5 linked regions of the Callithrix jacchus genome follow. The protein of the gene in region 4 interacts with the protein of the main gene of each other region in a biochemical or structural test. Links are inferred from orthologs where the notes say so. Each region holds a gene or a part of one and is shown on either strand. Other genes may lie near its edges. The genes, in order: LATS1, XIAP, CSN2, HTRA2 and MAPK12.

Evidence for each region.
Region 1: the proteins of HTRA2 (region 4) and LATS1 form a complex in vitro, tested with the Homo sapiens proteins (2 studies listed by BioGRID, with this or other methods). The link is inferred for Callithrix jacchus from reciprocal best matches to the Homo sapiens genes HTRA2 and LATS1.
Region 2: the proteins of HTRA2 (region 4) and XIAP form a complex in vitro, tested with the Homo sapiens proteins (10 studies listed by BioGRID and IntAct, with this or other methods). The link is inferred for Callithrix jacchus from reciprocal best matches to the Homo sapiens genes HTRA2 and XIAP.
Region 3: of the proteins of HTRA2 (region 4) and CSN2, one has a biochemical effect on the other in vitro, tested with the Homo sapiens proteins (2 studies listed by BioGRID). The link is inferred for Callithrix jacchus from reciprocal best matches to the Homo sapiens genes HTRA2 and CSN2.
Region 5: of the proteins of HTRA2 (region 4) and MAPK12, one has a biochemical effect on the other in vitro, tested with the Homo sapiens proteins (2 studies listed by BioGRID and IntAct, with this or other methods). The link is inferred for Callithrix jacchus from reciprocal best matches to the Homo sapiens genes HTRA2 and MAPK12.

The regions. Positions count from the first base shown.
Region 1 is NC_133505.1:156,463,339-156,469,079, reverse strand, and holds part of LATS1 (serine/threonine-protein kinase LATS1), read left to right. Parts: intron 1-1,197; coding exon 1,198-2,708; intron 2,709-5,043; coding exon 5,044-5,626; intron 5,627-5,741. UniProt on the Homo sapiens protein: Negative regulator of YAP1 in the Hippo signaling pathway that plays a pivotal role in organ size control and tumor suppression by restricting proliferation and promoting apoptosis.
Region 2 is NC_133524.1:119,623,801-119,629,541, forward strand, and holds part of XIAP (E3 ubiquitin-protein ligase XIAP), read left to right. Parts: intron 1-3,470; exon of another isoform or gene 3,471-3,475; 5' UTR 3,476-3,502; coding exon 3,503-4,379; intron 4,380-5,741.
Region 3 is NC_133504.1:128,104,042-128,110,448, forward strand, and holds the start of CSN2 (beta-casein), read left to right. Parts: upstream 1-2,260; coding exon 2,261-2,311; intron 2,312-3,157; coding exon 3,158-3,184; intron 3,185-4,157; coding exon 4,158-4,178; intron 4,179-4,272; coding exon 4,273-4,314; intron 4,315-5,415; coding exon 5,416-5,988; intron 5,989-6,407. UniProt on the Homo sapiens protein: Important role in determination of the surface properties of the casein micelles.
Region 4 is NC_133515.1:38,663,097-38,669,263, reverse strand, and holds HTRA2 (serine protease HTRA2, mitochondrial), read left to right. Parts: upstream 1-2,099; 5' UTR 2,100-2,106; coding exon 2,107-2,612; intron 2,613-2,716; coding exon 2,717-2,921; intron 2,922-3,010; coding exon 3,011-3,205; intron 3,206-3,440; coding exon 3,441-3,473; intron 3,474-3,680; coding exon 3,681-3,804; intron 3,805-3,959; coding exon 3,960-4,029; intron 4,030-4,087; exon of another isoform or gene 4,088-4,733; coding exon 4,734-4,829; exon of another isoform or gene 4,830-4,934; coding exon 4,935-5,100; 3' UTR 5,101-5,291; downstream 5,292-6,167. Other genes in the region: lipid droplet-regulating VLDL assembly factor AUP1, read right to left, coding at 73-139, 375-448, 543-615, 858-1,042, 1,236-1,603, 1,684-1,906; LOXL3 (lysyl oxidase homolog 3), read right to left, coding at 5,715-5,788, 5,992-6,103.
Region 5 is NC_133502.1:218,836,959-218,843,444, forward strand, and holds the start of MAPK12 (mitogen-activated protein kinase 12), read right to left. Parts: upstream 4,287-6,486; 5' UTR 4,099-4,286; coding exon 3,974-4,098; intron 3,887-3,973; coding exon 3,757-3,886; intron 1,105-3,756; coding exon 1,046-1,104; intron 15-1,045; coding exon 1-14. UniProt on the Homo sapiens protein: Serine/threonine kinase which acts as an essential component of the MAP kinase signal transduction pathway.

The sequences.
Region 1 (5,741 bases), on a different chromosome or scaffold from region 4:
TGGGAGACGGAGATTGTGGTGAGCCTGTGCCACTGCACTCCAGCCTGGGTGACAAGAGTGAGACTGTCTCAATTTAAAAATATATATATATTAAAATATATTTAAAAGCAGTAGTAGCTATGAAAATTACAAATAGATATACCCTTTGGCTTAATAATGCCACCTCTAATAATTTATCTAAAAATATGCATGCATATATATGAAACCTATATCTGTTCAAAAAAAAATTTTTTTTTTTTTTTTTTGAGACAGAGTCTTGCTCTGTCCACCCAGGCTTGAGTGCAGAGGCACAGTCTCAGCCCATTGCAGCTTTGGCCTCCTGGGTTCAAGCGATTCTCCTGCCTCAGCCTCCCAAGTGGCTGGGATTACAGGCACACACCACCACACCCAGCTAATTTTTGTATTTTTAGTAGAGATGGTTTTAACATGTTGGCCAGGATGGTCTTGATCTCCTGTGCTCGTGATCCAACTGCCTTGGCCTCCTCAGTGCCCAGCCATGGTAAAATTTTTTTAAAGTGAGGAAATAACTTTATATACTGATATGGAATCTTCATTTTATTTAATGAGAAAAGTCCTTGTTAGTATAGTGGTAAATAGAAAAAAGAAAAGAAAAAAGCTAGGCATTGTAGTAGTACATATAGGATATTTAGTACTAACTTGTATCTGTATATCCCTGAAGTACCTTATTAAAGAGCATTGGTCAGCTAAAGGACAGAAGTGGATATGATATTATACTTTGTGAATTTTGAGCCATCAATCAAGAATACTTTTATTTTTTTGAGACAGGGTCTCATTCTATCTCCCAGGCTTGAGTGTAGTGGCATGATCTTGGTTCACTGCAACCTCTGCCTCCCAGGTTCAAGCCATCTTCCAACCTCAGCCTTCCTAGTAGCTGGGACTAGAGGCACGTGCCACCATATCTGGCTCATTTTTTTGTTTTTAGTAGAATGTTGCCCAGGCTGATCTCAAACTGGTGGGCTCAAGAAATCCACCCACCTCAGCCTCCCAAAGTGCTGAAACTTTGACCAGGAGTGAGATACCGTGCCCAGTCAAAAATAAATAAAATTTTAAAAGATAAAAGGAAAACACTTACTGAAATTTTATTTTTATAACTATTTTTTTCCTAAATTGAGCTAAATAACAATAAGAGGTTAAAAACATGATTCTTTTTTCTCTTTATCTCTCTTATGACCATAGGGAATGTGCAACAATCAGTTAACCGCAAACAGAGCTGGAAAGGTTCTAAAGAATCCTTAGTTCCTCAGAGACATGGCCCACCACTAGGAGAAAGTGTGGCCTATCATTCTGAGAGTCCCAGCTCACAGGCAGATGTAGGAAGACCTTTGTCTGGATCTGGTATAACAGCATTTGCTCAAGCTCACCCTAGCAATGGACAGAGAGTGAACCCCCTACCACCACCTCAAGTAAGGAGTGTCACTCCTCCACCACCTCCAAGAGGCCAGACTCCCCCTCCAAGAGGTACAACTCCACCTCCTCCTTCATGGGAACCAAACTCTCAAACAAAGCGCTATTCTGGGAACATGGAATACGTAATCTCCCGAATCTCTCCTGTCCCACCTGGGACATGGCAAGAGGGCTATCCACCACCACCTCTCAACACTTCCCCCATGAATCCTCCTAATCAGGGACAGAGAGGCATTAGTTCTGTTCCTGTTGGCAGACAACCAATCATCATGCAGAGTTCTAGCAAATTTAACTTTCCATCAGGGAGACCTGGAATGCAGAATGGTACTGGACAGACTGATTTCATGATACACCAAAATGTCCCTGCTGGCACTGTGAATCGGCAGCCGCCACCTCCATATCCTCTGACCGCAGCTAATGGACAAAGCCCTTCTGCTTTACAGACAGGGGGATCTGCTGCTCCTTCATCATATATAAATGGAAATATTCCTCAGTCTATGATGGTGCCAAACAGAAATAGTCATAACATGGAACTGTATAACATTAATGTGCCGGGACTGCAAACAAATTGGCCTCAGTCATCCTCTGCTCCAGCCCAGTCGTCCCCAAGCAGTGGGCATGAAATCCCTACCTGGCAACCTAACATACCAGTGAGGTCAAATTCTTTTAACAACCCATTGGGAAATAGAGCAAGTCACTCTGCTAATTCTCAGCCTTCTGCTACAACAGTCACTGCAATTACACCAGCTCCTATTCAACAGCCTGTGAAAAGCATGCGTGTATTAAAACCAGAGCTACAGACTGCTTTAGCACCTACACACCCTTCTTGGATACCACAGCCAATTCAAACTGTTCAACCCAGTCCTTTTTCTGAGGGAACCACGTCAAATGTGACTGTGATGCCACCTGTTGCTGAAGCTCCAAATTATCAAGGACCACCACCACCCTACCCAAAACATCTGCTGCACCAAAACCCATCTGTTCCTCCATATGAATCAATCAGTAAGCCTAGCAAAGAGGATCAGCCAAGCTTGCCCAAGGAGGATGAGAGTGAAAAGAGTTATGAAAATGTTGATAGTGGGGATAAAGAAAAGAAACAAATTACAACTTCACCCATCACTGTTAGGAAAAACAAGAAAGATGAAGAGCGAAGGGAATCTCGTATTCAAAGTTACTCTCCTCAAGCATTTAAATTCTTTATGGAGCAACATGTGGAAAATGTACTGAAATCTCATCAGCAGCGTCTACATCGTAAAAAACAATTAGAGAATGAAATGATGCGGGTAAAACCTTTTAAAATGTCCATTTTTATACTTAATCATCTGTTTACTTGGTGTTTATTTTAAAATATTGTGCTCCAGTATTTTTCATTCTTTTTATAGCTTAATACAATATATTATCAGTTACAGAATTTAAAAAGTAAATAAATATTAAAGTACATTTGATTGTAACCATTTTATTTTAGTATTTCAAGATTTACTCAGAATTTCCCATAATAAAATCTTGTATAAATTAAGAAAAATATAATTTGCGATATACAGTTTAGGTGTACATAATACTTTATATGGAAATTGAAGCAAGGGTTGTTTTCTAGGTTTTATACTTTATCTTACAACATTTAAAGATAAACTAATAATATGTAGGTCTCATCTCCTGATACACTTATGAAACATTTCTTTTTACTTGTAGAAAATTTGAAGTTTATAGGTTTATTGATCACATAGATCTTACTAGAAAGTGTCAAAGAAGTTCTCTTCAGTTATTTCTCCCTTCTGATTTCATTTTTATAATATACTGGAGAAAAATGTGTTGAAATTAAGTCAAACTATACTAAAGGGAGATCAGAGTAAATAAACCTATGTAAATTATGTTGTCATTACACCTAGATCTCTTCACTAGATATTAAGATGGTATTGTCATCATTATTGTTTTTATCAGATGCTTAGATTTCAAAGATTTGACTCCTAATCTTACATCTGTTACTCACAATTCAAGAGGCTTAACCTTGTGATTAAACATCTTTATGACTTGAGAGAACCATTCTTTTTAAAATTATTTTCCCACCAGGCAAGGTGGCTCAGGCCTGTAATCCCAGCACTTTGGGAGGCTGAGGTAGGCGGGTCACCTGAGGTCAGGAATTCAAGACCAGCCTGACCAACATAGTGAAACCCTCATCTCTACTAAAAATACAAAATTAGCCATGCATGGTGGCACATGCCTGTAATCACAGCTACTTGGGAGGCTGAGGCAGGAGAATTACTTGAACCTGGGGGGCGGAGGTTGCAGTGAGCCCAGATTGCACCATTGCACTCCAGCCTGGGCAACAACAGCAAAACTCCATCTCAAAATAATTTAAAAACAAAAAATAAAATGATTTTTCCAAATCTGATTTACAGTATTTTTATTCCATTTTACATTTTATTAAATGATAAATTCCATAATAATCTCTATGACTTATCTATATTTTAGTTCTTAGCATTTCTTACTAAAGTCTGTTTGTATGTATTTTCTTAGTTTATTTTTCCTTTTTCCTCTTCACTTTCACTAATAGCTGATTTAAACTTTTATGGTGTTGGAAGCTTTGCTGACTTCTGTAGTCTCCATTACTGTGTAGGCAAGTAAGATTTTGAGAGAAACAGTTCTGAACTAAGTCTGGCACGTCACCCTTCTTAAAAGATTTTGCCTGCAAAAATGTGAATCCTAACAGAAGCATGTGGTTGCTCTATTTTAGTCTTGCATTTCTAGAATTAGACCTCACTTTTCTAATTGAATTCCTTTTCTATTTAAACCCTTTAATTAGTTCTTTATTAATTAGCCTAAATATTTCTCCCTTCTAAATCCAGGTATTCCATATCTATAATACTTAGAAGTTAGTTTTTGTTTTTAATCTATTTTTTGATATCTTCATGAGTCACACTGACTATTCTTTGAAATATTCCTAAATACCCAAAGGATATCTTGTAAACAAACAAGTAGGAGAAACCCTTTGCAATTTGTGTTAGTGGTGAGCCATGAGTCACACCTTTACTCTAATGCCCTGAAAAAGAGAAAAGGAAAGATTATTCATGACTATTATATATTTATTGAGAATGGGCAAGGATTGGTGGGTTAGAAAAGGCATTGTTTTGTTGTTCTTGGTACATTAATTTTTTAGAATAAATTAGCCTGGAGTGGGAGAATTTTTTTTTTCATGAAAGATAAAATGGGAGGAAGGATATTTGAGGCCTAGGCATTACACTAAAATAAGTATATAACAGAGATAAATGAAGATGCATGTTAACAGATACTTGTTTCACATTGAGAACCTTTTTTTTTTTTTTTTTTTTTTTCCGGAGTGCATTAGTGAAGAGTAGAAAGCTGATTCTTCTGGTATCCTCTTCTTGCCCTCCACAGCTGAATTTGCATATGTACTCACTTTGAATATCCTTTTAACTACCTTTTAAGCTGCACTTTTGATCATTAATTTCCTTTGAAATGTTTTCTAGATTTCTAACATGCTTTATTAAAAATTATGATGCATTTAACCTTTAATATATGCCTGAATTTTTTCAAAGCTATTTCATAATATTTAATATTGAAGAAGATAATTCTTATTTAACATCTAGTTTATTTGCCTAGGTTGGATTATCTCAGGATGCCCAGGATCAAATGAGAAAGATGCTTTGCCAAAAAGAATCTAATTACATTCGTCTTAAAAGGGCTAAAATGGACAAGTCTATGTTTGTGAAGATAAAGACACTAGGAGTAGGAGCATTTGGTGAAGTCTGTCTAGCAAGAAAAGTAGATACTAAGGCTTTGTATGCAACAAAAACTCTTCGAAAGAAAGATGTTCTGCTTCGAAATCAAGTCGCTCATGTTAAAGCTGAGAGAGATATCCTGGCTGAAGCTGACAATGAATGGGTGGTTCGCCTATATTATTCATTCCAAGATAAAGACAATTTATATTTTGTAATGGACTACATTCCTGGGGGTGATATGATGAGCCTATTAATTAGAATGGGCATCTTTCCAGAAAACCTGGCACGATTCTACATAGCAGAACTTACCTGTGCAGTTGAAAGTGTTCATAAAATGGGTTTTATTCATAGAGATATTAAACCCGATAATATTTTGATTGATCGTGATGGTCATATTAAATTGACTGACTTTGGCCTCTGCACTGGCTTCAGATGGACACACGATTCTAAGTACTATCAGAGTGGTAAGTAAACTCAAAATGTAGATTGTTCATAATGTAATTTATTGATATAGTAAAATATAGGATGATGATATTGGATGAGAGCCAGAAGACGGGTCAGGTCTTGATTCTGTTGGAT
Region 2 (5,741 bases), on a different chromosome or scaffold from region 4:
CCACCTTTCACTCTTTTTTTCTTTTTCTTTTTTCTTTTGAGACAGAGTTTCGCTCTTGTTACCCAGACTGGAATGCAATGGCACGATCTCGGCTCACTACAACCTCCGCCTCCTGGGTTCAGGCAGTTCTCCTGCCTCAGCCTCCTGAGTACTGGGATTACAGCACATGTGCCACCATGCCCAGCTAATTTTTTGTATTTTTAGTAGAGACGGGCTTTCACCATGTTGGCCAGGATGGTCTCGATCTCTTGACCTCATGATCTGACCGCTTCGGCCTCCCAAAGTGCTGGGATATAGGCGTGAGCCACCGTGCCTGGCCTATACCTTTTTCTTTCTTTTTTTTTTTTTGAGATCAAGTCTCATTCTGTCACCCAGGCTGGAGTGCAGTGGCGCCATCTCAGCTCACTGCAACCTCCGCTTCCCAGGTTCAGGTGATTCTCCTCCCTCAGCCTTCCAAGTAGCCTCCTGTGTGCCACCACGCCTGGCTAATTTTTGTATTTTTTGGTAGAAGTGGGGTTTCACCATGTTGGCCAGGCTGGTCTTGAAGTCTTTACTCCAAGTGATCCACGAACCTCAGCCTCCCAAAGTGTTGGGATTACAGGTGTGAGCCACTGTGCCTGGCAACTTATATCTATTTTGATTGACTTGAAATAAAATTTAACACCTCAGAGAAGATAATTCTCATGTGTTTTGAATTATACTGAACGTTAATTCTTCAGGATAATTATAGACTTGAAAATGTTTAATCCAGTCTCCTAGTCCATGCCGAAGTTCCTTCCAGTGATAAGAGGAACTCATAATTTACAAGGCAACCCAATTCATTTTGTGCTACTATCAATTGTTATAAAGCTGATCTTTGGGTTATAATCTACTGTTTATAATTGTATTTATTGATCTTAATTCTGCCCTCAAGCTATACAAAATTTGAATCTCTTTTCTACGTGATAACCTTTTAGATATCTTAAGGTAGTAATTCTGTCCTCTCTACCCTTCCCCTCACAATTTTAACAACCTTTGGGATAAATATCCTTTGCCATTCCAACTATTTCTCATATGATAACATTTTCATCATCCTGATAGCTCCCTAAGGACATTAAACTTGGTTAATATCCCTTCCAAAATCTATTTGGAACTGGAAATAGTATCCCTTGGTAGCTGAATTGGATCTGGATGTTGCACATCTGGACACTACTGCAGCTTGAAGTTGCTGTTTTTTGTATACTTGTAGTGTTGGCTCATGATGACTTTGTAAGTAATTAAAATCCCAAGGTTTTAATCTGGAGGATTGCCTTTATGTGACTTCTTTTTAAACCACGTCTCCATCTTCTTTTAGCTATGTTACAGATTTTTTTTTTTTTTAAAAAAAGACAGGGTTTCACCATGTTGGTCAGGCTGGTCTTGAACTCCCGATCTCAGGTGATCCGCCCGCCTTGGCCTCCAAAGTGCTTGGATTACAGGTGTGAGCCACTATGCCTGGCCACAGATTTTTTTTTTTTTTTGAGACAGACTTTTGCTCTTGTTGCCCAGGCTGGAGTGTAATGGTGTGATCTCTGCTCACTGCAACCTCTGCATCCCAGGTCCAAGCGATTCTCCTGCCTCAGCCTCCTGAGTAGCTGGGATTACAGGCATGTACCACCAGGCCCCATCAATTTTTTTTTCCCCCGTTTTTGAGATGCTTGCTCTGTCACCCAGGCTGGGGTGCAGTGGCACAATCTCGGCTCACTACAGCCTCCACCTCTTGGGTTCAAGTAATTTTACTGACTCACAGCCCGGCCAACATGATGAAACCATGTGTCTACTAAAAATACAAAAAATTAGCCAGGTGTGGTGGTGGGTACCTGTGATCCCAGCTACTCGGGAGACTGAGGCAGGAGAATCGCTTGAACCTGGGAGGTGGATGTTGCAGTGAGCCAAGATCTCACCACTGCACTCCAGCATGGGTAACAAAGCGAGACTCTGTTTCAAAAAAGAAAGTCGTGGAGACCATATTCCAAAAGTTGTATGCAGATATAACTCAGCTCTTGAGGTATATGAGTTAATACCATGATAAATTCACATGGCCAGGAAAGACTGATGTCCACTGCCAGCTTGCTTTGTGTTGAACATTTCTCCAAGAGAGATTAAATTCTGAGACATATTGTGTCAACATAAAGGCAAAAGAGCTGGCTAATTCTTGCCAAGAAATCAATTATGCACATACAATATAGAGACAAAGTTATTGTGTCCATTCTCTGATTTTGTGTTTGACAAGTTTATATTGAGTATGTTATCAGGCAATTCGGGAGATTCTGAAGAACCAGGTTTGCCTCATAGCTAGGGATGCCATATGCTCTAGTTTGCCTGGGGCAACCCTGATTTATGCCTGTTGTCCCAGTGTGATTATTACTAGTGTAATTTTTCGCTTTGAGAAGTGTCCAGGTTTGGAACGTAAATTATCTTGCCACCCTTCTCATAACCTAATGGGTTCCCTTTAGCATTTTATCTGGGTTAAACATTACACAGCTGTAAATTGGCAGCTCTAATAAGACTGCAATGATACTTATCTTCCATTTGAACAGATTGTTCCTTGACCAAGGGAAGTTAATAGTAAAAGTAACTGCAGGGCACATGTTCCCAGGACCTCCCAAGGGCTGGATCATGGGGGAAAAAAAAAAAACAAAAAAACCCAGTAATAGCAATTAAGGTTTCTAAGTACTTAGAATTTTTCCTGAGCCACCCTGTAGAGGGCGGTATTATATATATATCTGGAATTATCCAGTTCCAACAAAAAATGAGCTCTTGTTCATGCATGAAAATCAGAAATATTTGATACTCTTAAAGAACACATTGGAACCAGCATTATGATTAAAACATATTTTGCTTCAATTCCATCTTCTTTAATCAGAAGAGACCCTCACCATGGATACTTGTATGAGTCATCCAGGTAGCATACAATGAGGATCTTAATAAATAAAATAAATAAATAAATAAAAACATATTTTGCTAAGCAAAGAAATATTAAAAATTAATTCATTAACATTCTGAACATTTTTTAATTTGTAAAAACTGAATTTTGATGCCTTGAATATACAATGATTCATTATAACAATTATGCACAGACTTTAATAATCTCCATATTTTATGCTTCTTTTATGTTTTTCCTAATTAATTATTTGACATGGTTAATAATTATAATATATTCTGCTTCACAGTTCCATATTTATGTAAAATAAGCATTTAAAAATTATTAGTTTTATTCTACCTGCTTAAATATTACTTTCCTCAAAAAGAGAAAACGAAAATGCTAGATTTTACTTTATGACTTGAATTATGTGGTAATGTTGAACTCTAGTATTTAGAATTAGAATATTTCTTAGAGGTCGTGTCATTATTTTTATGTCCTAAGTGGATAATTTGTTAGCTCCTAGTAACAAAAGTCTATTGCTTATGTTTCACATTTTGGATTTCCTAATATAATGTTCTCTTTTTAGAAAAGGTGGACAAGTCCTATTTTCAAGAGAAGATGACTTTTAACAGTTTTGAAGGATCTAAAACTTGTGTACCTGCAGACATCAATAAGGATGAAGAATTTGTAGAAGAGTTTAATAGATTAAACACTTTTGCTAATTTTCCAAGTAGTAGTCTTGTTTCAGCATCAACACTGGCAAGAGCAGGGTTTCTTTATACTGGTGAAGGAGATACCGTGCGGTGCTTTAGTTGTCATGCAGCCGTAGATAGATGGCAATATGGAGACTCAGCAATTGGAAGACACAGGAAAGTATCCCCAAATTGCAGATTTATCAACGGCTTTTATTTTGAAAATAGTGCCACGCAACCTACAAATCCTGGTATCCAGAATGGTCAGTACAAAGTTGAAAACTATCTGGGAAGCAGAAATCATTTTGCTTTAGACAGGCCATCTGAGACACATGCAGACTATCTTTTGAGAACTGGGCAGGTTGTAGATATATCAGACACCATATACCCGAGGAACCCTGCCATGTATAGTGAAGAAGCTAGACTGAAGTCCTTTCAGAACTGGCCAGACTATGCCCACCTAACCCCAAGAGAGTTAGCGAGTGCTGGACTCTACTACACAGGTATTGATGACCAAGTGCAGTGCTTTTGTTGTGGAGGAAAACTGAAAAATTGGGAACCTTGTGATCGTGCCTGGTCAGAACACAGGCGACACTTTCCTAATTGCTTCTTTGTTTTGGGCCGCAATCTTAACATCCGAAGTGAATCTGATCCTGTGAGTTCTGATAGGAATTACCCAAATTCAACAAATCTTCCAAGAAATCCATCCATGGCAGATTATGAAGCACGGATCATTACTTTTGGGACGTGGATATACTCAGTTAACAAGGAGCAGCTTGCAAGAGCTGGATTTTATGCTTTAGGTAAACTTCATTATAAAACCAATAAATGACTTCCCAACTATGCCAGGGCTCCTAAAAAGTAAATAGATGCCTTTAGCCCCCTGAACTGGTAAATATTTAGGTATAATTTGGCATGATTATACCTATATTCATCTTATTCTGTGAACTCTTATGTTGAACCTGTAACGTAACTACTGAACTTATGTGAAAAAGACTACCATATTATGAGTCACATTTCTCTTCATGTAATTGTTTTTAGGAAGTAATAACATGCAAAAGATGGTAGACATCTCCAATAACAAAATGGGTCCAATAAAATACTTTGATTTATTGAGCACCTATTATATGTGCACAGTATGTATACTTCATGCATTTTCTCTAAGCTTCACAATTTTTTTTTCTTTTCTTTTTCTTTTTTTCCTTTCCTTTTCCCTCCCTCCCTTCCTTTCTTTCCTCCCCTCCCCTCCCCTCTCCTCCCCTCCTCTCCCCTCCCCTCTCCTCTCCTTCCCTCCCCTCCCCTCCCCTCTTCTCTCCTCCCCTCCCTTCTCTTCTTTGGGATTTCACCAAGACCAGGATGGTCTCAATCTCCTGACCTCATGATCTGCCCATCTCGGCCTTCCATGGTGCTTGGATTACATGCATGAGCTACCACACCTAGCCCATAATAACTTTAATAATTTTTTTTTTTGAGACGGATTGTTAGTCTTGTTGCCCAGACTGGACCACCTGGCCCACAATAACTTTAATAACTTTTTTTTTGAGGTGGAGTTTCACTCTTGTCCAGACTGGAGTGTAATAGCACAGTTTCAGCTTACTGCAACCTCTGCCTCCCAGGTTCAAGCAATTCTCTTGCCTCAGCCTCCCGAGTAGCTGGGATTATAGGCATGCACCAACACGCCCGGCTAATTTTGTATTTTTAGTAGAGACAGGATTTCTCCTTGTTGGTCAGGCTGGTCTCAAACTCCCCACCTCAGGTGATGCGCTGGCCTCAGCCTACCAAAATGCTGGGATTATAGGCGTGAGCCACTGCACCTGGCACTTTTTTTTTTTTTTGAGACAGAGTCTCACTCCATTACCTAAACTGAAGTGCAGTGGCATGATCTTGGCTTACTGCAACCTCTGCCTCCTGGGTTCAAGCTATTATTGTGCCTCAGCCTCCTGAGTAGCTGGAATTACAGGCACATACCACTGCACCTGTATAATTTTTGTGTTTTTTAATAGGGACAGTGTTTTACCATGTTGGCCAGGCTGGTCTCAAACTCCCGACTTCAAGTGATCTGCCCACCTCAGCCTCCCAAAGTGTTGGAATTTCAGGCGTGAGCTACCATGCTTATCTTCCCAATAACTTTATTTATTTATTTATTTTTTTGAGATGGAGTATCA
Region 3 (6,407 bases), on a different chromosome or scaffold from region 4:
GATCCCCAGAATTTCTGGGGACATATTATAGGCAGAAATCATTTTCTAATCATATGGACTTCTTGGAATTAAAGCTCACTATTGCTCTCATTTCAAACCACAAAATTAGCATGTCATTTAATATAGTATATAAACAGCCACAGAAGCTGATAGACCATAATCCATCCGGCACTGCCTTCACTTCTCTTCAATCTTGGGGAAAAGGTAATAATTGTAGATACTAATTTCTTGTATCTTCTCCTAATCATTTATTTCAAAGTAGCTTGAGCTATAGAAAGAACACAGTTGCTTAAAATATAGTGTTTGAAATAAATATTTAAGGTAGTACTAAAATTATTTTCTACGCTTTGGCTAAAAAAGATAGAAGTGTCCAGAAAAATTTGGTAAAAAAAAATTGCAATGACATATAGCCTTCGTGAGTTTAAGAAAATGTAATAACTAATTTTATGCATATATATATATATATATATTTAGTATGAGGCTAGTTAATAGTTAATATTAAGAGGATATTTAATTTTTGAATTATTTTTCCAATTTGATTTAGCATATCACAATCATAAAAAGAAATATGCTTGAATTATAGTACGGGTAGACAATTACTGGAAAAGCTTTGTCCAAAATGTAGTTTACAGTGGTAGCATACTGAGTCAAAAAATGGAGGTGATGGTTTGGGGACATTTACTACTTTGTGTTTATTAACAATGTTCTTAGAAGAGTTTACTCATCAAACTTGTCTAGAGCCTCAAAATTCCCAGTTTATTATCTAGTTTATAATATTTCAAAACAATATTAAAATGAGACAGAAATACAGAATTAAGTTAAAAAGAAACAACGTGGTTTGCTTTGTAAGAAAATTCTTAATGGGGTAGAGAAGACTTGGAAACCATAAACAAAGATAATAGACAATATAGAAGAAAAAGTAGCTTAGAGAATACCAGTTGATAATGAAGCTCTGGCTTCAAAATCAGTACATAAAATGCTACTCAGAAAATATAGAAAATGCTCTGGGATCTTCTCAGTGTGTAATGATATATAATAGAGTGCTGTATTCTTTTTCTGAACCATGAGATAAAAAATTTGGAAATTTATGGAGATCTCAGGCAAATAAAATTAATAAAGAATTATTTAACTTTCATAAAAATCTAGAAAAAATATTTATTTTCCATAATAGATAGAATTATGATCAACCTTCCAATATTAAAAAGAACACTTTTCAAATAAGTTAGAGACATTTTTCATGAAATATTTTTAGCTTAAAAATTGAGTTTCAAAAAGGTGAGAATGAAGAGTGAATGTCAAGTCATATTGTGGCACAAACATTATTTTGAAATTAATTATAAAAAAATGTAAGAACACATGATTAGGAGACAGTTTGGTATATTTTGGTCCAAAATGTTAACATATATTTTGCAAGAAGAGGTAGTCTCAAGCTTGGCAGTGTGAAAGAGACTCTGACCTCTTGGTAGAGCATCAAGAAACCTGCATGTATATTTTAATACAGAGAAAAGAAGCAGCCTAATGTATAATCTCTAAAGTCATGTGGCATAAAAGAGAAAGAACAGACATTATTAGCTATGCGGGGAAGAAGACTGCACAGTGGGTATAAATGGAGCAGAATCAAACTTCATAATCCAACAAAATCTCTGGATAGTGACACAAATAAGGAAAATGTTAAAATGAAAATGTCAGTCTTATTGGAAATGAGGAGAAATAATTAGATTAAATATTCATGATAACCATCTGGTGAAAAAAAGATAAAAATAAAATGTGACTTTTTTGTACACATTTTCTTGATCAGTCTCTTCCAGTAGAACTGAGGCTCCATGAGGGCTGAGACTTTGTTTTGTTCATTCTTGCAGTCCAGTTTCCTAGACAGTGTCTGGCAAGAATAGATTCTTAAGAAATATTTTAAAATTAATGAACATATCTTTCCATATGTGTTTATAACTTCTTTATGCCTTTTTAAAAATTCAATACTGTAAATGGGACTTTTTATAAAAGTGAGGTTGGAGTTGTTAGGTGACAAATCTGAGTAGCTAGTAATGAAGTTTGGAATTTGATAAATGATAGTAGCAAGCCATAATATATTTTGACCTTAGTCATATAACTTCTATTTATTATTTATTCTATTTGTTTTCTAAAATGCAGACATTTTTGTTATACATTATCTCTTCTTTGAAGAAAAAGTAACCTTACCTAAATAAGAAAATACATCCAATTGACCAATCCATTTTTTCTCCATTCACAGGACTTAGTAGCCATGAAGATCATCATCCTCACCTGCCTGGTGGCTCTTGCTCTTGCAAGGGAGGTATGTGCACAATAAAAAGTTCCTAAACAATCAAAAAATAGTGCACTATATGCCTATTGGTAGAGAATAACATTACCAACATTTTTTTACTGTATAAATAATGAAGAATTTCATGAGAATTACCTTGGCTTCTACCAAAATCATTTATATTTACCCAGTGTGTCAACAGTTTCCCATAGGGCTTCAAATGCTTCCTATACCAATGTGCTGCTAGTCACTAAAGAAAAAGCAAACAAATCACTAAGTAGTACAACAAATGATAAAATGGTAATAAATACAATTGCACACATGCTCAATCTAGATAAATATATTATTCCAGTGATAAAAATATATATGTCTTGTACCCTAAGGCACTGGATCAAATCTTGTGTCCGTCTATACAAAGACATTGATAGAATAAAGTACAGACATAATCGTAATCATGATCATAAATATATTTATAGTAGTATAATGAAAAGTATGTAATACAAATTGAAGTGACTATTTTTCTGTTACCCATCAAAAACTGTCTTTAATAAATGTAAGATAAAATATATTAATAGAAATGACTAACATAAAAAACATTAAAGCAATTACCTTTCAAGCCTCAAAAGTTGTATAACATTTTTTAATTTATCAAATTTTTGAAAGAGATAGCTCTGCATAAATGATGTAAAAATTAGGGAGTATATATGTTTAACAACGAGCTAGCTATGGAGACTAAACTTTTAAAAATCTTTTCAGAAGGAAGTACCCAGTGCATACTCAGAGGTAAGATATTTTTTCAGAGAAGATTTATGAACCATAATAGTAAAAATCTCTAATTATCTAGAAGACTTGGCTGGTTGTCATTTTTTTTTTCCACAGACTGTAGAAAACCTTTCAAGCAGTGAGGTAAGATAACATTCTACCCAATTTTAGAACAGTAAAATCCTGTGCTATCTGTCTATGACATTACATCATGGCAGTTATGCTAATGCAGCTATGTTAATGACATAGAAGTTCTGGTCTATATTTCCTTTATATATGTTTAAGGACAATAAATATCTGGATAGTACAACAATGTAGAACTTTCTGAATTGGCCTGATACTTGAAATTGTGTCATTTTGCTTCCTTTTTTTTTTTTTCAAGTGTTTTTTGTATTGAACTCTCTTTACTCTGAACTCATTCACCTTAAATATTTATTGAGGGCCTTCTATGGGTTAGACATTGATTAGGAACTGTGGTAGAAACTGAAATGATGGAGATGCCAGTGATAATTAAGAGCTTGCAAAGTAGTAGGTAGGCAGAAATGCAAAAGGACACATTTTATAATTACAATATAGTCACTTTGTAAGAAGTAGCATAGTGTAGACCTAAATCTACTGGAGAGAGTCAGGTAGCTATTTGTTCTTACACCACTCCTCTTGGGTGTGTGATCACTTGATAAGTAAATGATACATCAACACATGGTCTCTTCAGAAAGGTTATATGATCCTTAAGGGAAGTGTTTAGTTCTTATGCTTAATTTGAAGAAACTAAAAGTGATTAACATAATGTATCAATTGTTATTGAAATCTATTTTCAATGAGTATTTTCTTTTTTAAAAAATCAGATCGAGTTTTAGAGATCATTTCTTGTCAGGGAATGAGCATGGTAGTAGAGGGAAATTAGTATCAATTTTTTTTTGTACAATGACCTTCTTGACTGCATTCATCTGACTTTCTTTTATATAACAAGCTTACATAGAACAGTGTAACACATAAGGTTTAATGATTACACAAAATGATTACTTTTATCAAACAATTATGCCTTTATTTCCTGATTTATATTTCAAAGTAAGAATTACTAAAACTAAACCTGATTTTATTTTATATTTTTCTGTAGGAATCCATGACACAATACAAGGTAAATTTTCATTTAAAATGTACATATTTTCAAAATTTCCTGTTTAATTTTTACAGATGGTAACTTATCTTTATATATGATTTATTTTTAACAGAAAGTTGAGGAGGTTCACCATGAGGAACAGCAGCAAAGAGAGGTAATTTATTCCTGATAAGTATATTTCTAAAGTTATTATAAAGTATAATATGTAAAAAACTATTTATAATGGATATGTTGATTCTAAAGAATGATAATAAAATAAATGCCATATGCCCAGCAACCCCTGTAAAAAATTAAACATTGATAAAGTCAATATGTTTTCCAGGATATGCATGCATTTTGAAACATAATTTCTAGAATATAGACTAAATACATAATGATATTACTAATGGTATATCTGTTTTCAGTAAGTTCACATTAGTGGGAATATTTTCAGGTTGCTAACTATGATTCTCTTATTCTCAAGGTGGGTATGGTAATGAAAGGGTGTATACAGCTGGTAAAAAATCTGTGTAGAATTAGTGCCATATTGCCTTTATTCCCTTAAGGAAAACACAAAATCCTGGATTTCATTAAATTACATTTATCTTGATGTATTTACCTAGTTATAATTTTCAGTTGCTTTGTGTGTCAGTGAATTGTTTGGTGCTCACATAAATTATTTTTAAAATCAAATTTAAGTAAAAATATCGATGTCTCTTGAAAGACTCAAGAAAACTATCTTCTCCCAAGGGAAGAAACGCAAGAATTTGGTCCCTGTTAAACTACTTCCTGAGATTAGCCACAAATTAAGACTGATTTTTTTTTTCATTAAACCAAACCAAAATAAAAATAAACCTTGAAATTGTCCTTTTAAGTCTTTTTAAATCAATCTCTTTTCACTATATGAAAAGAATTTGGTCTATTACTGGTACAACTGTGTTAAAAAGTAAATGCTCTCTGAAGACCAACGCGTACAGCTACAGCTATCCAGGCAATTCAGGAAAAGGTGAACGAAATGTTTCTGAAATATCCAAGCACTGATATCACTTTGGCCTGTGTAGTTACTCATAAAGTGAGTGGATTAAAATCTTTAAACAAACATTTTACTCATTTTTCTTCACATGACTCAAGATAATTTCTTAATCAAAATAAGTGAAAGATTTTCTTCCTCCCTTTTTACTCACTTATCACTGTCTAAAAGAGAGAAATCACTTCATTATGAATGGCAATTATAGCTGAATCAAGGACTTCAACGATTCTTTTTCCTTCTTTCCAGGAGGAACACCAGGATAAAATCCATTCGTCTTTGCAGCCACAGCCTCTAATCTATCCATACGTTGAGCCTATCCCCTACCCTTTCCTTCCACAAAACATTCTGCCTCTTGCTCAGCCTGCTGTGGTGCTGCCTGTCCCTCATCCTGAAATAATGCAAGTCTCTAAAGCTAAAGACACTGTCTATACTAAGGGCAGAATGATGCCCATCCTTAAATCTCCAACGATGCCCGTTTTTGACCCTCAACTCCTGAAACTCACTGCTCCTGAAAACCTGCATCTTCCTCTGCCTCTGTTCCAGCCCTTGATGCACCAGGTCCCTCAGCCTATTCCTCAAACTCTTGCGCTCCCTCCTCAGACTCTTGCGCTTCCTCCTCAGACTCTTGCGCTCCCTACTCAGCCCCTGTGGCCTGTTTCTCAGCCCAAAGTCCAGCCCATCCCTCAGCAAGTGGTGCCCTACCCTCAGAGAGATATGCCTGATGCAGCCTTTTTGGTCAATCAAGAACTTTTACTGGACCCCACCCGCCAGATCTACCCTGTGACTCAGCCAATTGTCCCAGTTCATAAGCCCATTAGTGTAAGTCCAAATTTACTGACTTTGCTGTTTCATTTAAGATGTGTATGTGATGGTAGAATGAAAGAATAAATGTACAGTAAATGAATTTTAAAAAAAGTTTAGTTAAGTGATCCTTAATGCTTACCTATGCAATAGAATCTCCTGGAGAAATATTCCCTTGCAAAACCCAATGCCAATGCCTACCCAGAGATTTTTTTTTTTTAATGAGGGATTGTGATTGACGTATATGCCATATTTCCATGTATATAATGTGTACCTAACTTAACAGTAATTTGAAAATTATATATACATTGACATATAAATATACATATATGTATGTAACTTTGCTAAATTGTGCTTTTTGTTTTGCTTATACTTTAATAAAGAAGTAGTGAAAGACAAATGGAAAACAAATTAAAATAGTGGTCTTTTAGGAGGAG
Region 4 (6,167 bases):
AAGATCTCAAGCTTTCCTCCCCCTTCTCCTAAGCAGGGACCGAACCTCCACCCTGCCTGTATATCCAACCACCTGTTGTACACGGAGTGCAAACGCCTCATTCCCTTCTCCTAGTTGGCGATGAACAGGACGAAGCCACCTGCAAAAAACAATCCAGGGCTATGTTGCGGGCACCCAGGGTAAAGGCTGTCACTGCTCCCCACTTTGGTACCTCTTTGCATGGTGAGGGTGGGAAAATAGTATATACTTTTTGTTGCCTCTATGGTAGAACCTTGATATTAAAAGATCTACAAATGGACAGGGCAGAGGCCACTACTTCCTTGACCTTGAGATGAACCTCTCCCCAGTGACCAAAATGTGAGGGCAGTTAATACCTTACTTGATACACCGTGAAAGGGACGAAAAGTGACCACAGGAGTTCTGAGACCCAGGAGGCATCTGACACCGTCTGAGGGGAGGGCATGAAGTGAGGCCTAAGCCAGGGCCTGGGATGGGAAACTTCCCCTCCGAGCCCCAAGATTCCCTGTTCAACACACACTCACCACAGAGACCAGGGGTCTCTGAACTTGCAGGGTAAGAGGTTGTACTACGTCCTGGATAGAAAATGGCCAGGAACTAGAAGAGGAAAGAGAAAGTAGGATGGGAATCCAGCCAGCCTAGTCAGTAGCTCATACCTGCCTTAAAACAGGCAACTATCAAACTCTACAAGTAGATAATTGAAGAATGAAGGGATTCAGGAGAAAGAAAAGTAGACAGAAAGGAAATGAACTAGAGATGTTGGGGGCTAAGGGCTGAAGAAGGTTGTAAAAACTCAAGGGCCCACAAGCTTGACCACCCGATACCTGTGCTAAACCCACCTGAAACGCAGGAGCCCCTCCCGGCCATTGGTGGCCTCTTCCTCAGGGAATAGCAGCAGAGGGGTGGGGGGAAGCCTCGTGGAAGCACAGAATCTCTTGAGTGACTCCACCAACTCCCCCCGCCCATCCATCTCCATGAAGCCCCGAGACCAGCACACAAAGCTGGGGGGACTATTGAGTAGAGGCTGGGAACCAGGAGAAGAGAAAGCAAGATGAAAAAAAATTGAGGAAAATGAGAAAAACTGACATGTGGGGTGGAGGATCAGGGTTAGGGGTAAGGGTCAATATCCTCCATGGGGAACGCGAATGGGGCCTGGGGGCCTTCAGCTGGGCCCCAGGGAACCGCCCCGTGGCGCTCTCGGCCTCGCTCTCACTCACGGTGCTACAGGTGGTGAGTAGATTGACTATGTTGTGGTCGAAAGGTGTCACGTGGTTGGAAATGAGAACCCTGACGCTGTGATCCCGGAGTCCAGAGTCCTCCTGCCGGGCCACGAGCCCCAGCAGCGCACACATGGTCCGCACTACGAACCTGGGGACACAGGAGGTGGTGATTGTGTGTCTTCGGGCCAGGCCCAGCCCTGACACTACCCAAACGCCTGCGTCAGAACCTGCGAAGGACGCTGTCTGGTAGCGCGCAGCTGACCAGGAAGACGTGGATCCCGAGAAAGAGGCGCAGGACGAGGAGGCAGAAGCCAACCGGCGCGTAGAGCAGCAGCGCGAGCAACAGAAAGCCGTCACCCGGGAGCCTGGGGGCGAGAGGCGAAGTGGTCGGGCACCGAAGGCCAAGAGGACGCGAGGATCGGCCTCTTCTCGCCGGGGCTCTTACCGGTGAGAGTCAAAGAGCCTCTCCGGCCCCGGGGCTGAGGGAAGCTCCATTCCTGCAGCTTCAGGAGCGCCCGGCCGTCGTTGCCGCCATCTTCGCGCCCGGCCGCAAGGGCTCCTGGGAAGGCGGAGTCTTTGGGTATCCGCCCGAGGTGAGTGGACCTGAAGTCCTGAGGCGCCCCGGAAGGGCTAGCACTCCCAGCATGCCCCGCGGCTCCTTGGCCCATCTCACAACTCGGGTCTCGCGGAAACCACAATTCCCGGCATTCGCGGGATGCGGAGAGGCGGCCTCCCGGAATCCTGGTTCCGGCGTGCACTTCTGGAGGACTTCAAGTACCAGCGTGCCCTGCGTCCTACTGTCCGCTTGCTCGCGTCCTGGGTGCCGCCTCTGAGTAGGGCGGGCGAGGAGGCAGCCGAGGCGGAGCTGATGGCTGCGCTGAGGGCGGGGCGGGGTGCAGGCTGGATCCTCCGGGCATGGCGGGCTTTGGGGGGTTTTCGCTGGGGGAAGAGACCCCTGTTGACCCCTGACCTCCGGGCTCTGCTGACGTCAGGAACTTCTGACCCCCGGGCCCGAGTGACTTATGGGACCCCCAGTCTCCGGGCCCGGTTGTCTGTTGGGGTCCCTGAACCCCGAGTACGTCTGACGTCTGGGACCCCGGGTCCCCGGGAACAACTGACTGAGGGGACCCCAGATATCAGGACCCAGGAGGCCTCTGGGAACTCTGGAAGCCGTTCGCGCGCGTGGCTGGCGGTGGCGCTGGGCGCCGGCGGGGCAGTGCTGTTGTTGTTGTGGGGCGGGGGTCGGGGTCCTCCGGCCGTCCTCGCCGAAGTCTCTGGCCCGCCTCCCACCTCTCCCCGGAGTCAGTACAACTTCATTGCAGATGTGGTGGAGAAGACAGCACCTGCCGTTGTCTATATCGAGATCCTGGACCGGTAATGGTAGGGGTAGACCCGGAGGCTGTGAAGCCACGGGCCGGAGGGCGGGCGGGTAGGAGGGGTCAGAGCCTCCTCTTACCCGTGCTTTCCCTCCATTCCAGGCACCCTTTCTCGGGCCGCGAAATCCCTATCTCAAACGGCTCAGGATTCGTGGTGGCTGCCGATGGGCTCATTGTCACCAACGCCCATGTGGTGGCTGATCGGCGCAAAGTCCGTGTGAGACTGCTTAGCGGCGACACGTATGAGGCCATCGTCACAGCTGTGGATCCTGTGGCAGACATCGCAACTCTGAGGATTCAGACTAAGGTAGGGGCTGGGGTAGGCCAGTTCTGGTTGGAGCCGCTTATTTGCTTGCATCTCCAGATGACAGGTCTCTTATACCCATTCTCCCTTAGGATCCTCTCCCCACGTTGCCTCTTGGATGCTCATCTGAGGTCCGGCAAGGGGAGTTTGTTGTTGCCATGGGAAGTCCGTTTGCACTGCAGAACACGATCACATCCGGCATTGTTAGCTCTGCTCAGCGTCCAGCCAGAGACCTGGGACTCCCCCAAACCAATGTGGAATACATTCAGACTGATGCAGCTATTGATGTGCGTCCTGACAGGAAAGAAATGACAAATGATGGGGGAGGGGGAAGAGGCTTTGTGGTACAAGCACCAACTGATACATGTTGGATGACACTGTATACAGACCTTAGGCTGCAAAAATGTGGCCACTCATTCATGGGCTGAGAAAGAAGAGAATTTGGAGAAAGCACCTACATCCTGGTATGCCCCCAGACTTAGAATCCCCAGATCTCTTTCATGTTTTGTCCTTGTTCTGCAGTTTGGAAACTCTGGAGGTCCCCTGGTTAACCTGGTGAGTGGGACATCCTTCCTTCCAAGAATCCCTGCCCCAGGTCAGTGTGGGAAGGGTGGTTTTTCCCTAATTCAAAGATGTTTGGTCAAGTTTCTGAGCAGTTCTTTATTGGCTATCTCTCAACATCCAACCAGATTTCCCCAACACTTGATGCTACTTTTGTTCAGGTGCCCCCATCCCCTACTATCTGTTTGGGCTAGGGAACAGGGGGCTGTGTCCCTGCAGGATGGAGAAGTGATTGGAGTGAACACCATGAAGGTCACAGCTGGAATCTCCTTTGCTATCCCTTCTGATCGCCTTCGAGAATTTCTGCGTCGTGGGGAACAGGAAAGTGAGCCTGGCTTATGGGGAAATGGGTTCCTTTAAAATGGTGGGTGGGAAATAGGTGAGGGGCATTCATTGGGACTTGCTGGAGGGTGGTCTACTGGGAGAGGAGGGTAGGGGAAGGATGTCGCTGGGTGGGACTCATTTGTCCCTCTGTCACAGATTCCTCGTGTGGAATCAATGGGTCCCGACACTGCTATATTGGGGTGATGATGCTGACCCTGACTCCCAGGTATGAGCTTTAGGGATAGTGACATGTAATGTAACCAGTGTAATCAGAGGTGGGCCTCTGGTACCTCTGTTGAGCTTTATTCTCATTTCTCTCGTTATCTAAAATGAGCTGCATCACACTTGGAACAATCACAAGAGCTGTCCCCCTTCATCATCTTGACTTTCTTATCCCACTCCACTTTGCACACCTGTCACCAGATTGATTTCATCCTGTTACTGCTTTGATTTCAAGCCTTCAATCCATTAACTTGGCATTTAAGGGCCATTTTCCATCTGTCTGTAAATCAACTTTCTAGACCTGGCTGTTATACCTTCTTATATGTATACTCAGCCAACTTGATTTCCTTCTCCCATGCTGTTTTATTTATGCTGTTCTTGTTTTATATGGTTAATATCACATCCATCCTTTTAGGCTCAGTTTCTTTCTCCTTAAAGCTTCTCTTAGCATTTAGAGTGACATTAGTGCTATTAACACTGTTTGTCATTTGGTGCCCTCATGTGGTGTACATCTTTTATGTACATGTTGCTCTTAACTGCTAGAAGACAGAAAGTGAGTGGCCATTGTATTTTGTAGTACCTAGTGCATGTCCTGTCACTAGGTACCTAGTGCATACCTTTGTCAATGTGTCGATGAGAGAGTTGAGGTGAACTCAGGATGGGGAGAATGCCTAGGTTTGGCTAATAGGGTGATCTGTGTACTTTCAGCATCCTTGCTGAACTACAGCTTCGAGATCCAAGGTTTCCCGATGTTCGGTATGGTGTACTCATCCATAAAGTCATCCTGGGCTCCCCTGCACACCGGTGAGGGAGAGGCTTCAGTGTGAGATGGGGATGGGCGAGGTGTGCATGTGTCCTTGAACTGGGCTTTCTATTCCTTCCTTTCTCTCTGTCTGTTTTTCTCTGTAGGGCTGGCCTGCGGCCTGGTGATGTGATTTTGGCTATTGGGGACAAGGTGGCACGTAGTGCTGAAGATATTTATGAAGCTGTTAGAACCCAACCCAAGATGGCATTGCGGATCCGGCGGGGACGAGAAACACTGACCTTATATGTGACCCCTGAGATCACAGAATGAACAGATCAGCAAGAGTATGAGGCTCCTACTCTGATTTCTTCCTGCCTTCCTGGCTGAGGCTCTGAGGGTGCCGGGACAGAGGGTTAAATGAACCAGTGGGGGCAGGTCCCTCTAACCACCAGCACTGATTCCTGGGCTCTGAAGAATCACAGAAACACTTTTTATATAAAATAAAATTATACCTAGCAACATATTATAGTCAAAAATGAGGTGGGAGGGCTGGATCTTTTCCCCCACCAAAAGGCTAGAGGTAAAGCTGTATCCTCCTAAACTTAGGGGAGATACTGGAGCTGACCAACCTGACCTTCCTATTCAAGACAATGAGCTGTTGCCATCTTTTGTTGTGGGCAGTTAGTCAGGTGGTGCTCTTTCTGGTGTGGTGTGCTCTGCTCGGCGCTGGGCCTGGGAGCAAAGATTCCCCATGCTTGGCCACAGATACTGACAGCTGGCCTCTGAAGGAGGGTGATAACTTCTGCTTGACAGTTCCACATCCATAGTGCATGGTCCAATGAGTGCGGTTGCTGACATGGGTTCCTTGGTAAGCTCCTGAGGTAATGGCAGCCTCAGACCCCTGCCATTAAGGGCCAGTGGTGGTTTGCAGAGGGTGGTAGCACTTAGATAATCTGGTTGCTGGTCTGGCCAGGGTAGCGCTCAAACCTCCTGTTGGCCTCTTCACTGAAGGCATCACCTGCAGATTGGACAGGCAATTTGGGAGGTGCCCTGCACAGAGGGAGGCAGAGAGACCCACTGTGGGGAAGGGTAGGTAGAAGTAGAGGGACTGAGAGCTCCAGAGGAGGGTGGAAAGATACAGAAACAAGTTACATAAAAAGAGAATGAACGTTTCTCCCTCCCATCCCCTAATCTTCCTGGGTTGCTCTTCCCATCAAATACCGATGTGGCAGTTGTGCACCCAGATACGATGTCCATCATATTTGCAGTTACATTTCATTGCATTGTTGGTGAAGTCACTCTCTGCTACTTCAAAATTTGGGTTGATGACTACCTGTAAGCGAGAGAAAGGTCACTTAACCCAGTGACAATCCTCAAATCCAAAAGTGACTTTAACA
Region 5 (6,486 bases), on a different chromosome or scaffold from region 4:
GCATCACCAGATAACTGTGGAAGGGGCCGGGTGCCATCAGTAGGCAGGGCCAGCCTCTGCATCCTGGAGGCCCACCCAGCAGGCCCAGGCTCAGACCCATCCCGCTCCAGCAAGTGCCTCTGGGAAGATCCCCCTGCAGCACCTATCCCCACTGGCCTCGGCATCCTCGAAGCTGCACCTTGTAGTGCCAGGCTCCATCCAGACCCAACCCCATCACTGCCAGCAATGCTCACACCTCCCTCCCACCCCGAGGACTGTCAGGCAGAGTGGAGGATGCACTTTGGGGTTTTTGAACCCTCCACTGAGTGCCCTGCGTGCCAGTCTAGGGGCTGAGGCTGCGTGGTGGAGGCAGCAGGGCTCAAGTCTTCACAGGCAGGGGAGGGAAGCAGTCAGGTTTCAACTTCAGAACTTTGTGCCAGAGACGAGGGAGGTGCCTGGAGGTGTTAGGGGCTCACAAGGCATCTGGGTCAGTGGGGTCAGCTGGGCTGGTGGACAGACACAGAAGCATGGTATAGCCCCTCTCAGTGGCCACTGAGGCCAGCGTGGGTCCTTGACCTCTGCAAGTCAGGCGAGAGGAGCCTGCTGCCTTCTCCAGCTCTTCCTCAGCCTGGACCTTCACTCTTGGCCGACAAGGTGTGAGTTTCAGGGTGGTCGGCTACAGGGCACGGGCAGGGCAGGTCCTCCCTACTGCTTCTCCTGTACCCGTCGGAAAAGGTCAGCAGCTCCCATTACAGGCCACACACTTGGTGCCAGGAAGGTCCCAGGCACGGGACCTTCCTGTTAACAAATGCTCAGGTCCAAGGTTCACACCTCCAGTGCTGGAGAGGGCCCAGGTGCCAGACTTGGAGGGAGGCGGCAGCCCCAGCTCTGCTGGGCAGTGCCAGTGCCCGTGGGTCCCAGGAGCATGTGGGGGAGGGGCTGGGCAATGTGCATCCCCCACTCAGCCTGCAGGAAGAGAGCCCCATGCCAACCTAGAACCTGAAGCCAGTACCCAGAGCTGCCCAACACCCCTTGTGCCTGGCAGCCAGCCCAGGTCAGCACTCACAAGTCCGTGAAGTCATCCAGGGTCTCATCAGGAGTGAATACGTCCAGCAGCCCAATCACCTGGTGCGGGGGGAGGGCAGGTAGGGTTGAGGGTGCCGTAGAGGACATGGGCTGGGGCACCCCCCCAAGAGTGGCACAGCCCTCTGGGCAGAAAACCCCCTCTGCAGCTGTTGTTGTCATGCCCCACTGTCCAAAGGGCCTGGCTCTGCCCACTGGCCACTGGCAGTGTGGCCCAGCCCTGGCACACATACCCACAGACAGGTTATTTTTGGATGGTGACAGCCGGGATCTTCTGGGGGAGGGGCAACCCCAAGCCTAGGCTGGCTTGCCATCCAAAGGGCTCCTGCCCCTTGACCCTTTCTCCCATCTTCTCCCCAACCAAGCAGACCCAGGCCCAGGGTGAGGACAGCGCTATAGGGAGAGAGGCCCAGGCAGGCAGCACCGTGACCAGTCAGACCTGGTCCCCACAACGCCCCTGGTTGGGGAGACGGACAGTGGACAGGTCATAAGATAACTGCCACCTCAGCATTTTGGGGTGACAGGGCCTCCAGGGTCCCAGAGAGGCCTGGAGTTTTGCATAGCCAAGGACAGAGGAGCAGGTGGACGTGTGGACAGAGGGAAACTGGCAGAGGGCACACACAGAGTAGCCGAGGCAGGAGGGAAAACACTGGGAGAGTTTGAGGAACAAAGGGAGGGAGGCCAGGTGGCCGAGGCCCAGGCCAGGGAGGGGCTGAGGAGAGGCCAGAGGGAGCCGGCAGGAAGCACACACCAGGTGAAGGTTTGGCTTTGATCCCAAGAGACAGGGAAGGATTTAAACAGGGGTGTGATGCTAAATGTGTCCTGGCTGTGGTATAGGGACCAGCCGGAGTGAGGCAAGAATGGGCACAAGCTGGAAGGACAGCTCCACTGTAGCCACGTGGGCCAGAGCTGAGGGCAAGAGTGTGGAAAGAGAAGGAACGGTGGGTGGGGCGAGGTCTAGGGAGGCCTGGGAGCAGCCGGGACTGCAGTCATGAGAGCTGGAGGGTGCCTGGGAGAGTGGTTTAGCCCACGACGGAGAACAGGGTCCTGTGGGCTTGGGGCCATCAGATGGATGGATTTGGCCTCTGTGGTATGGGGGCCCGCCTGGAAACGTCAGGACTGGGGCCTGTGCCAGAGCCTCCTCCCCAGCTGAGCAAGGCACATGGCCTTGCAAACCCTTAGTCTCCCAGGATGATGGCGTTCCAGGGGAAGAGCCGAAGCTGCAGGCCAGGAGCCCAGGGGGTGGACCCACAGGCACAGCGAGCAGTGACTACAGAAAAGCCCTGGTGGCTGGGCGTGGTGGCTCACATCTGTCATCCCAGCACTCTGGGAGGCCAAGGTGGGCGGATCACCTGAGGTTGGAAGTTCCAGACCAGCCTAACATGGTGAAACCCCAGCTCTACTAAAAATACAAAATCCCCCGCTGGGTGTGGTGGCGCGTGCCTGTAGTCCCAGCTACTTGGGAGGCTGAGGCAGGAGAGTTGCTTGAACCAGGGAGGCAGATGTTTCGATGAGCCAAGATTTCACCATTGCACTCAAGCCTGGGCAACAAGTCTCCAGAGAAAAAAGAAAAGCCCGGGGCTCTTGGCTGGACAGGGGCAAGGAACAGACAGGTGAGTGGGTGGGTGGGGCCAGGGGGCTGCAGGGGAGGAGCTGGATAAAACCAAGGGTGGGGGCGGGTACACTCCTGGGACAAGGCCTGGGTGTGACTTGGGAGGTGGTGAGATGGCGGCGGTACTGCTGTCCACCACAAAGGGGCTTCACAGGGCCAGGGGGGTGAGCTGGGGTCAGGGTGGGCATGGGAAGCCTCAGAGAAAAGCACCCACTCAAGGGCTGAGGGAGTGGTGGGGGCAGTCTGCTGGTGGACGCAGGGACTCGTTCTCCCAGGGCGCTGGTGGCTTGGATGACCCAGGAGGGTCCAGAGCGTGTGACCCTGAAGCTAGGGTCCAGGAGCTCAAATGGCAGGGCAGGAGTGACGTGGGGGGCAGTGAACAAGTGGAACTGTGTCCAGAAACGGGAGCGCCCCTGGCAGAAAGGTAGGGCTTTCAACAGCCAGCCACAGCCATGAGAGAGGCCCAGGGCAGCTGTGCATCTCATGGGCAGGGCTGGAAAGGATGGGCCCCCACCACCACCCAAGGAACGGGAGGGTGTCTGTGTGATGGCCACCGCACCCAGTGGCCCCCAAACCCCAGCTCCCTACACCCTGCACCCCCAGGGGCTCCTGAGGGTCCAACACTCCCTACGTTCTGGACGCGCCCCCCTCGCCCCCCGCTGGGTCAGAAGACTCGGGAAATGGACCGCAACAGAGTGGGCTCCACAGAGGAGCTGGAGAGGGGTCCGGATGGGAAAGAGGGGAGGTGCCCCTTCCAGGAAAATCGGCCCACTGGGAGCGTCCTCTCACCACGGGCTTCCTGGCTGGGGGCAGGGTTTGGCATGAGAGCTGGAGAATCCCTGAGCCTGGCCAACTCGTGTCCCCTGACCAGGGCCTGGCTGAGGCGCGGAGTTGAGGGGGTGAGTCCTTCCCGGGGCTGGCAGAGAAGACGGGGGCTGAGCCCTGCTCTCCTCCTCCCCTGGGGATCCACGGCCCGGTCCCCGCCCCGCCCCGCAGCCGCCTGCTGAGGGGGCGTCGCTGGGTGGGGAAGCCGAGCCGAGCCGTGGTGCGGCGCCTTCCCGGAGCGGGGCCGCGCGACTCACGTTCTCGTGGCGCATGTGCTTGAGCAGGCGCAGCTCCCGGTAGGCGCGCTTGGCGAACAGCTCGGACTGGAAGGGCCGGTACAGCTTCTTGATGGCCACCTTGGCGCTGGTGCGGCTGTCCACCGCGGAGCTGCGGGGCACACGCTTAGCGGGAAGGCCGGGCACCCCGCGCAGGCCCCGCCCGCCCCGCCGGCCGCCCCACCCGGCCCGCGCTCACCACACCGCGCCATAGGCGCCCGAGCCCACGGGCTGCAGGTCCCGGTACACGACGCGCACCTCCCAGGCCGTCTTGGTCACCTCCTGGCGGTAAAAGCCACTGCGGGCGGGCGGCGGAGAGCTCATGGCAGGCCCGGGAGCCGCCCACTCCGCAGAGCCCGCGGGCGGTTCCCCCAGGACCGGTAACCCGGGATCGGCGGGGCTCCCTCGGCGCGCGCCCCGGGCCCGCTCCGCGCGGCTTGTCCGCCCGCCCGCCCGCCCGCCGCTGGGGCGCTCCTGCTCCCGGCTCTTCCCGCAGGGATGTCCCAGGTGCCAACCCCTGCCCGACCCCAGCCCCGACCCAGGCAGCGCACGGCCCCTCCCCCGCCCGGGGACCAACCGGCCCGCGGGCCGCGCGCACGTGACGCCCTCGCCCGCCCTCCGGCCCCTCCGGAAACCCGAGGCGGCCGCCGCCGGGGGAGGGCCGGAGCCTGGGGGGAAGCGCAGGGGGAGGGGAGCGCCGCCCCGCAGCTTTGTCCGGACCTAGGGCTGGACGCGGCGCGGAGATACCCATGCCAGCCTCTGCCCTTTGGCTGAACTTCCCTGCCTTGGGGGGTGAGGAGGGGCGTTCTCAGCAGGATCCCCGCCGGGCTCCAGTCCTTACTCCCCACAGTTCCAGGCCCATCCGTGACAGCCTGAGAACCGACTTGGGTCTGCAGCTGCAAGTCACTGTCCCCCTGCCCTGAGTTCCCTGGGCTGAGCCCTGTGTTCCCAGGTTCACCCCCAAGGATACCCTGCCGCTGTGCCTGACCATTGTCCCCGCACGTGGGGTCCACCTGCACCTGTCCTGCCTGCGTCCCTGTCTCCCAGACTCCTCAAGCTGCATGCCCAACCCCACTGCTGTGGCCACTGACCCTGGGCCTCCCAGTCCCATAGGTCCCCGTGGGCCCTCCTGCACCCCCAGCTCCTCCCCTTCTCTCCTCTGTGGGGTGCTTGTTCCACGCATTGCAAGTGTCAGTGCATCTGCCTGTCCCACCCCTGCCTGTTCCGTCCTGCAAAGCTCATGGCTGCACTCTCTCCTACAGGGACGAGGACCTGCTGGGCCCTCAGCCTGTCCCCTCCGTGTGGGCATCATCCTCCCATCGGTCTGGCTCCATCCTGGACCAGATGCTTCAGAGTGAAAAGCCCCACCCTGACACCCCTTCCCCAGCCCAGTGATCTGGGTCTCAGGAAGGATGGGGGGTGCACCCCTGGAACCCACTGGGTTGGTGGGTAACAAGTTCCCTAGGGCCCCCCGCCCGCCCTCCTGCCATGAATCAGCAGCTCAGCCGCTCAAGGGTGGGAGTAGCTTTACACCTGGGCTTCCGGCTGTCTGCGGCATTCACCAGCTGGTGACCAGTGAGCCGGGGTAGCCCGGGGCTACCCAAACCACAACTGGCTGTGGCCTGCAACCTTTGTGCCCTGGGCTGCCTGTGGCACTCCATCCACGTCTTCCAGGAAGCCCTGCTTCCACTGCTGTCCCCCTCACTCCTCATGGTGGGGCTCAGGGGTCCAGCAGGCCCCACACAGACCAGGCATCTGAGGTGGGGCTGTGTCCCCATTCTGCTCCCCCACACCCCAACACTGGACTTCCCCAGGACTGAACACTACACTGACTAGGCCCCAGGAGGCCCCCAACTCCCAGATGATTTCCACCCCCCATCCAAGACCCAGGCAAGGGGCACAGGCTGTCCCTGGCCCCCAGAGATGCTGCCTGACCCAGCATGGCCTGGACCCTCCCCCACAGTAAACTACCGTGTATAGTGGGAATGGGACTATCGCATACATCCCTCAGATTAAAGTGGGCTCTTTAATCTTCAACAGAAAGGAAAGGAAAGCTATTTTCCTTACCCTGCCCAGCCCCACCCCACCAGGGATGGGCAGACCCTTACTCCCTGAGACACCCAACTACTCCCCAGCCAGCCTCCCTGACCACTGTGGGGGGTGGGGTCTGGATCTTGGCCAGAAGCCAAGCCTGCCCAGTACATCCCCATAGGGCAGCTGGGGTCACCATCTGGGTGGCTGTCACACCCTATGCACAGAGCCCACCCATCAGCCATGTCTTCTCTTGGTCCCCCTGGGCTCTCAGACCCTCCGGGGAGCAGGGAGGGTGCCAGAAGATGGCTGCTTGTCTGACTGAGAGACTGAGGGATCTGGCCAGCTGGAGACAAGTGATGAAGGGTGACCCAGACACTTCCCCCACCCCCAGCAGCAGGGCCTGTAGTGGCCTTTGGATATGAGCCGAGCAAGAGAGAACCCCCTTTATTGTGCACCCCTGGTGCAGGCACTTGACACCCAGGCTTTCCTGGGCCCCTCAAGGCAAGAGGTCACCGCCTTTCCAGGGCAAAGCCACACTCCCAACTCAGCTCTGAGCAGGGTCCCATCTTCCAGGGTTATTGGATCAGCTCCATCCTGGGACAAGGAAAGAGGATGACTAACCCGCAGACCAGAGCACCTCCGATCTCTGGCTGCAGGGCCACACGGTGGGCAGAGGTA